Schizosaccharomyces pombe: one gene and its partner. The protein of the gene in region 1 interacts with the protein of each later gene in a pairwise test. Each region holds a gene or a part of one and is shown on either strand. Other genes may lie near its edges. The genes, in order: prp45 and uaf2.

What was found.
Region 2: the proteins of prp45 (region 1) and uaf2 interact in a two-hybrid assay, tested with the Schizosaccharomyces pombe proteins (one study listed by BioGRID).

The regions. Positions count from the first base shown.
Region 1 is NC_003421.2:1,500,370-1,505,164, forward strand, and holds prp45 (Prp19 complex subunit Prp45), read left to right. Parts: upstream 1-2,273; 5' UTR 2,274-2,322; coding exon 2,323-2,351; exon of another isoform or gene 2,352-2,394; coding exon 2,395-3,946; intron 3,947-3,994; coding exon 3,995-4,087; 3' UTR 4,088-4,295; downstream 4,296-4,795. Other genes in the region: SPOM_SPCC188.14 (uncharacterized protein), read right to left, coding at 602-841; septin Spn6, read left to right, coding at 4,572-4,630, 4,693-4,795. UniProt on the Schizosaccharomyces pombe protein: Involved in pre-mRNA splicing.
Region 2 is NC_003424.3:5,323,731-5,327,256, forward strand, and holds uaf2 (U2 auxiliary factor small subunit Uaf2), read left to right. Parts: upstream 1-1,863; 5' UTR 1,864-1,880; coding exon 1,881-2,531; 3' UTR 2,532-2,705; downstream 2,706-3,526. Other genes in the region: ski7 (ski complex-interacting GTPase), read left to right, coding at 1-553, 594-678, 716-1,076; SPOM_SPAP8A3.07C (phospho-2-dehydro-3-deoxyheptonate aldolase), read right to left, coding at 2,990-3,526.

The DNA of each region.
Region 1 (4,795 bases):
CTGGTAAAGTGAAAGTATAGGTTGTAGCTATGGTTCCGCTATCAATTGTCGTGCGTATAGTGCTATGGTTCGCAACTGAACTAGAAGACTTTGAGGAAGGATAAATGGTTGTGGTGTATTCAGAAGTTCCTTCTGAAAAAATCGTAATATAATCGGGACAAGTGTACAAGGAAGAGGAGGAGGTTTGAGATATAGTCCGCTTAGCAAGTCCAATTGATACACGAGGTTCACTAAGAACCACCGTAAAAATGCTTAAAAAAAGGAAGACTAGAGTGGAAAAACGAAAAGAAAACATGAACGACTTAGATTATTAACAAATTAAACGCGGGCTTTGTAAGATTTGAAATGAGTGACTAGAAAAGAGGGACTAGGCGGAATTAAAAAAAAACAAAAATAAAAAAACTTCAAAAATTAAGTAGTCCGCCTCTCGCATCAGATAGTTTTCGCTCAAAAATTGGAAACCAAATATTGTACAGAACAAACGCAGAAAGTCAAAAAGAAGTAGAGACGAAACCTGATTCAATCGAATAACACAGGCTGGTCTTATCGATCAAATTAAACGAAACCGCTCTCTATATGACAACTTTAACCGTGAGAGCAGTCAAAGTACGTTTCTTCTACGAGTGTTTCTTATTGAAAGTATAAAGTATTCTGGGTAAACAGCAAACTGTGGGATGAATAACCAGCATCGTGAAAGTGGCCAGTTTGGGGAGTTTTTCATAAACTTAGCGTATATGCCGGTAACCATGTTATAAACAGGCACATTACTTGACGGGAAATCGTTCCACGAGTCCCCAAGTGAAAGAAATGTAAATATAATAAGCGAAATTGTCGTGGGCATCAGTACTATACAAAAGTTGAGGTTTTAGCTCAGACAACTTTTTACCTACTAAACCAAACCTGGTTATGAGCAACAGACCCTTATTATAACATTAGCAATCAACAACAAAAATTTTTATAGTATTGATTTTTGATATCTTGCGTTCGTTCCGCTTTATCGGAAAGACTTTGGCAATTTTACCGATTCTCTAGAATCATGTAAAGTGACGAAAACAGAAGGCAGAAAGTCCAACCAAATATGGGCAAAAAAAACAACCACTTCAATAAATTGTTCCAGTTAACAGCAGTTTAGTTGTGTTCAAGTCAATTACCAGCGTTTCGCGTGAAACGTTACAGAAGTGTAAATAATGAAATACTGTTGCTTTCTCTTTGACTCTCATTCTTACACAAGGTCACTTTGCATAGTAGACCGTTGAAAAAGTAAAAAGGAATAGAGGAGAAAACAAGATTTGATTAATTTTTAACCACACCCAACGTATCCGCAAAATCTCATTGATTCAGTAACATTGACTATATGGTTCTTTCGGTAAGTTTGACTCGTTATTAAATAAAAAAAATAGAGGCAAATTGTTTGAATTATGTTTGCTATCAAATGATATCCATTGAGTTAAAAAGTACGCGATTTGATAGTCTCATGAAGACACACATAAAGAGAGAAAAATCCATCAACTCCACTTAAATTTAAAAAAAGGTGAGGTACATATAGAAACTTTAGTACAATTCGTATTGATCGCCTAAATCAATATTTTTGAAGTATTGAAAGTTCAAACATGCCTTACAGCTCATTTCTCATTACTTTGTAAGGTAGCTGGCTAATGACAACTATATATAGGCATTGAGCCATAAGTATGCTAACTTTCACTATTCATCGCTTGGCAAATCTTTTTCTTTATTAAATGTATCTCCTATAAACGTGGCACTACTTTTTTGAAAGTTATAAAGCACGTTGGGAGCTAATTTCAACTTTATAAACTTCGCAAAAAGTGAAAGAAAACACAAAGGTATAGATAGTTACAAGCCGCATTGCTAAGTTGATCTGATAATTCTTAACATCTAACGTAATCGAGTGTGTCGGAATAGTATTTATGAAAACTGTGAGATATCCCACTGAAAATGATTTATGTTGTCAAAAGCATCGTTAATACACTTAAGAATTACGCATTTCCTCGTGTGCCTTATTCGCAATAATTCTACTGTGTTGCTCACACTAATGCTAACAAGTACGGAATCCTAACTTAGGTGACCTAGCGTAATACTAGCTTCATTTACCAGTTGTTGTAATGCGTGCATTGATTTTCTTTCATACATTCTTGCAAGTAAATTTCCAAGTAATTTGAGGATTTATTTATTAAATTATTTCTCAAAGCTGCGAGAGCTTTTGGATTCATTCGAACAGAATTCATATGTCCATTATATCCATACAACTCGTACTCAACACCACTTCACACATCTGAGTGGAAAGTTGTTTATTATTTTCCAAAAATGGCCCTTTTATCCGAAGAACTTTCTAGGTAAACTTATATTTTTTTCTCAAATTCACTAACAACGCCGCAGTATACTTCCAAATCCTGATTTCGACGATGAAGAGGAAGATTATGTGGAGAGGGAAACATCACATGCAGATGAAAGACAAATTGGTGTCAAATTTCACATTCCTCCCTATGGACAAAGAAAGGGATGGTTTCCTTCTTCACCTGAAGACTTTGGCGATGGTGGAGCTTTTCCCGAAATCCATGTAGCACAATATCCTTTGGATATGGGCAGAAAAAGGTCAGCTAAATCTGCTGGTAATACATTGGCTCTACAGGTCACTTCTTCGGGCGCTGTTGACTATAATGCCATTGCTCGACAAGGTCACGAACATGGAGAGTTGGTACAGGCAAGCTTTCGAGATTTGATCCCCTTACGTGCACGACTAGGTGTGGGAGAAATTTCGTTAGAGAAACCGTCTGACGAGCAAAAGCAAGAAGTAGCGAATAAAACTAAGCTTGCCTTACAAAAAATACTTTCCAAACAAATCGCTCAGTCTCAACCTAAAAGTGCTGTGGTACAACAACGTGACGATCCTGTATACATTCGATATACTCCTAGCAATCAAATGGGACAAGCACTTAGCAAACAGAGGATTATCAAAATGGTCACAGCTGAACAGGATCCCATGGAACCACCAAAATTCCGTCACAAAAAGGTTCCTCGTGGACCACCTTCTCCTCCTCCTCCCGTCTTGCATTCTCCTCCACGAAAAGTTTCTGCTCAAGAACAACAAGATTGGCAAATACCTCCGAGTATTTCTAATTGGAAAAATCCGAAAGGCTACACTATTCCATTGGATAAGCGGCTGGCCGCTGATGGTCGTGGTCTTAATGATGTTGAAATCAACGATGGATTTGCCAAATTTTCTGAAGCATTGTACACGGTGGAGCGTCAAGCTCGTGAAGAGGTCCGATATCGTGCCATAATGCGCCAAAAGATGGCTGAAAAGGAAAAGCAGGAAAAGGAGCAACGTTTATTTATGCTTGCTCAAAAAGCAAGGGAAGATCGTATGGGTAGAAATGCGGCTTCTTCGGGTCCTTCACATGCAAAACCCCGCTCTACTTCTGTCTCCTCTGAAGAAAGAAGTCGTTCCAGAGCTGGATCGTTCTCGCATCATTCAGAGTCAGAAAATGAAGATGAGGATTCAGAAGCTTTTCGCCGTCGTCAAGAACTTCGCCGCGAGCGAAGACGCCAAGCTGAAAAGGATCTTCGTCTCAGTCGAATGGGTGCTGAAAAACGTGCTAAGCTTGCTGAAAAAGATCGACCTCGTGATGTCGCTGAAAGGGTTGCTTTAGGACTTTCAAAACCATCAATGTCAAGCGATACAATGATCGATAGTAGATTATTTAATCAGGCTTCTGGCTTAGGATCCGGATTTCAAGACGAAGACAGTTACAATGTGTATGATAAACCGTGGCGGGCGGCACCTTCATCAACGTTATATAGACCGGGTGCTACTTTGTCCCGTCAAGTTGATGCATCTGCAGAATTGGAACGTATTACTAGTGAAAGTCGTTATGATGTACTAGGAAATGCGCATAAAAAGTTCAAAGGATCGGATGAAGTCGTAGAGGTATGTTTCAATATCTTATACTTTTACTTAAATACTAACTTTTCTTAGTCTCGTGCTGGCCCCGTCACTTTCGAGAAAGATATTGCTGATCCTTTTGGTGTAGATACTTTTTTGAATAATGTTTCTTCAAAGAAAACTTAATTCTATTCGATCCTTGACACTGTCAAAGAAAATGTACATTATTGTATGGTTTTATTCATTGGAATATGACTGTCTTAAAAATAAAAAAAAGTACAATTTACGTTTTGTGTTTTTTTTGGATCAAGGCAGTTAATTCAACAGAAGTTCATATTTAGTCTTAAAAATTAATGTTTATTCTTCTAATGATTAAAGAGCTAGTAAATTTGAGCATCGTTTTTATTTGTATTCTTGTTTCAACTCTGGTAAACCAGGATTATGAAAGTATTTTGGTACAAGATGTGAAAAAGAATTAAAAGTCTTCTATGTAGATAATTTAATTTGTATATTTAAAAATTTTTGATGAGGCATATTTATTTATTTATCTGTGCTTTTTATCACTGGACATTCGGTTGTTTGTTTATATTTCGCTGATAAACGCTGTTTGAAACAAACCTGAACCTACTAAAGAGCAAAATACAGATAGTTCGAGAAATAAATTTTTACGATGTCTTTGACTGAAAACCTTCAATTATTATTAAATTTGGATAGTCTACCATCCAAAAGGTATGTTATCGTTACAATCTAGTCATAAATTCATAAATCATTCATTAACAAATATACCACAGAGAAAATTTAATAAAAAGAAAAGAATGTGGTTTAACAATCATGCTTTGCGGAGCCTCAGGTACTGGAAAAACAACGTTCTTCAATACTCTTTTTGCTACTTCT
Region 2 (3,526 bases), on another chromosome or scaffold:
TCTCGAGATAATTTTCTAAAACATTCAAGTTTGTTTCAAGTAATGAACACAGCCATTTTCACCATTGATTGTCTGAATCCTTTGGAAGGTCTTGATGGAATATCTTCCATTTTACAATTGATGAATGGCTTATCTATTTCAAGCTATATGTTTGCTATCACTAAGATGGATGAAATTGAGTGGGATGAAAATAAATTCATTAATCTTGTTAACTCGATTCAGAGCTTTCTGAAAGAAAGTTGCGGAATAATTGAGAAATCAAAATTCATTCCGATAAGCGGACTAAAAGGAACCAATCTTACATCCATTAGTCAAGAAAAATTATCCCAGTGGTATAAATCTGATACATTGCTTGGCAAAATTGATAAAGAAGCAGATACAAATCATGGCACATGGAATTTTCTTCTTAATCTACCTCTCTCTTTAACAATTTCACACATTACTCCTTTGCCAGAAAATCAATCACATATTTACTGTAGCATCCATTCAGGCATGCTTCAGGATTCGCAAAAGCTTTATGTAGGCACAGGGAGATTAGAAACACAAATCACAGGTACGGAAGGTGTTCAATTATTTTATGTTAATCAAAAAAGGACTGAGCAGTGATGAAAATCCCAAAGGGTTTAATGTTGCTGGGGATATGATTCAAGCCAAAATCCCTACATTACCCAATTTATGGTAAGTTCTTTGCAATTCTTGTATTTCTAATAAATAGTCCTGGGATTTTAATTGCTGATAGTATCGATGCCTTTACTTCTTCGAAAACTGCTTACGTTAATGCAACTTGGTTTCACGGTTCTCTTGAAAAAGGAAAGTCGATGCATGTAATAGCCCTATTCGGCTGTCACGCAGTCCTTACCAAACTGTATTGCTTTACAGACAGTCAAGAAAAAGCTCCTAACGCAATCGGAAACGATCTTGAAAGAAATCGAACCTCACTTGTGAAAATTGAATTAGAGAATGCTTTCCCTCTCGTAAAAGAAAGCTACATTAACACCTTAAGCCGCGTTTTATTCGTTTCAGAAAAATGGAATAGCTTAATTGCGTTTGGAACAGTACTATCTCTGCATGACTGAATCCCTAACTTACGTATTATACTCAACTCCATATTAATTTTGCATTCGAAAAAATTTTCCGTCCTTTTTAAAGAAATTCTCTATAGATTGTTTTAAATATTGTAAAACTACCGATGTTGTTCATTTGCGTACATCTCAGGCATCGTGACATTTGGAAACAATTTGTTCTCGAGTAAATTTCCTGAGCAAAAAAAAGGAATGTGCTGTGTTAAGAATAATTTATCTTTTTTTCTTTTGAATCGTTGGCACATCAGTCTAATAACAGTAACTACTTATTCTTGATATTTTCCAAATTCGAATATAATTAGGGAAATACAAGGGAATATCTGTATATCGGATAGTTGTAAGCTACGCAGTTTGGTATCTGATTTAAGGATACGTAGAACTGTGGTGAGTTTTCCTTGTGATCTATTATATTACAATACACAGGTTATATAAGTAGCAACTGAGTATAGGTATTGTATTAACTGGGTTATAATGTTACCTATCACTAATATAGCTCATAACTGAACTGAGGAACGAGGTTCAGCAGTAGCTCTATTTATAGTATTCAGATAATATAGATCTTAATAGATTATCATTAAGATCAATCTCCATATCGTATCATACATGGTACGATATATAATTAGAACATGTGACATATAGTGATACGCAACGTAGTGTATCATAGCGTAGTGTAGTACTGCTGACAATAGTGTGCAAGAATAATTTAGAAAATTTGCGTAACTTAACGAGATGTTGCACGCCACCATTATAAGACTAGAATCATGTTGGATCACTTTATTTCATAACCACCATATAAAAATGGCAAGTCATTTGGCAAGTATTTATGGTACTGAGCAAGATAAAGTCAATTGCTCATTCTATTATAAAATAGGAGCTTGTAGACATGGGGAACGCTGCTCTCGTAAACATGTCAAACCAAATTTTAGTCAAACGATCTTATGTCCCAACATGTATAAAAACCCAATTCATGAACCAAATGGCAAAAAGTTCACGCAGCGTGAACTTGCAGAACAATTTGATGCATTCTACGAGGACATGTTTTGTGAGTTTTCAAAATACGGTGAAGTTGAACAATTAGTCGTCTGTGACAATGTTGGAGATCACTTAGTCGGAAATGTTTATGTAAGATTCAAGTATGAAGAGTCTGCCCAAAATGCTATTGATGATTTAAATTCCCGATGGTATTCCCAAAGACCAGTCTACGCCGAGTTATCTCCTGTAACTGATTTTCGCGAGGCATGTTGCCGGCAACACGAAACTTCGGAATGTCAGCGGGGTGGCCTTTGTAATTTTATGCATGCCAAAAAACCAAGTCCTCAGCTTTTACGCGATTTGGTACTAGCACAAAGAAAGTATTTGGCCTTAAATGCAGCAGAAGAAATGAAAAAGGAGCCCAATAGTGATTCCACGAATCGATGGGTCAGTGTAACTGCTGAACGCAAAAATTAAATAGCAACTTATGGAATGTATTTGTTTTGGATTCTGGTTTGCTTTTGTACGGTTTTACTTCGTTTATTATGATTAATCTCTGGCTATAGTTTGTTGTGATTTAGGTTATTTAAATAGATGTTGCATTCTTTTATTGTTTACTAATAAACTTGATCTTTGTACAACTGTACTCATAGACGTTTTAAATTTTGTGTCCAATGTGCCTATGGCTGATTACAAGCTAAAGGAGATCGATTAGAAACATATGAAACGATCAAACATTTCGCAAAACTTGCACAGCAATTCTTAAAAACGAAGGTGTTATTGGTAGAAGCTGTGTACGATATAAGAAAAAAAAAACAAAAAAAAATAAATAGAACCCGTATTTAAGCCAAAATTGTTCAGTTGTTGTATGTTACGAAAAAATAAGTTTCAAAAATTAAAAAAATTAAAACTGCTGAATATAACATTTATATGTCTTAATTACTTTTTTGGTTTTGACGGCGAGCACGGACAGCTTCAGCAAGATCGTCTAGCATTGGAGCAGTTTGTTCCCAGCTAACACAAGCATCAGTGATACTGACACCGTACTTGAGAGTATCCTTAACGCCAGGACGGATTGGAGCATCTTGACGACCTTCATTGATATGAGATTCAATCATAACACCAACAATGGAAGAGTCGCCATTTCTGATTTGTTCGGCGATGCTCTTGGAGACCTTTGGTTGGTTCAAATGATTCTTGCTTGAGTTGCCATGAGAGCAATCGATCATGATACGAGGAGGAAGGTTGGCCTTCTCAAGATCTTTGCGAACGGCGGCAACGTGCTCAGCATCATAGTTAGGACCCTTCTTACCACCACGCAAAATGATGAAGGTATCCTTGTTGCCCCTGGTCATGGTAATAGCGGCGAGACCTTGTTTAGTAACTCCTAGCATTGTGTGAGGATGGGCGGTAGCACCAATGGCATCAATCGCCACACCAACAGTACCATCAGTACCATTCTTGAAACCAAC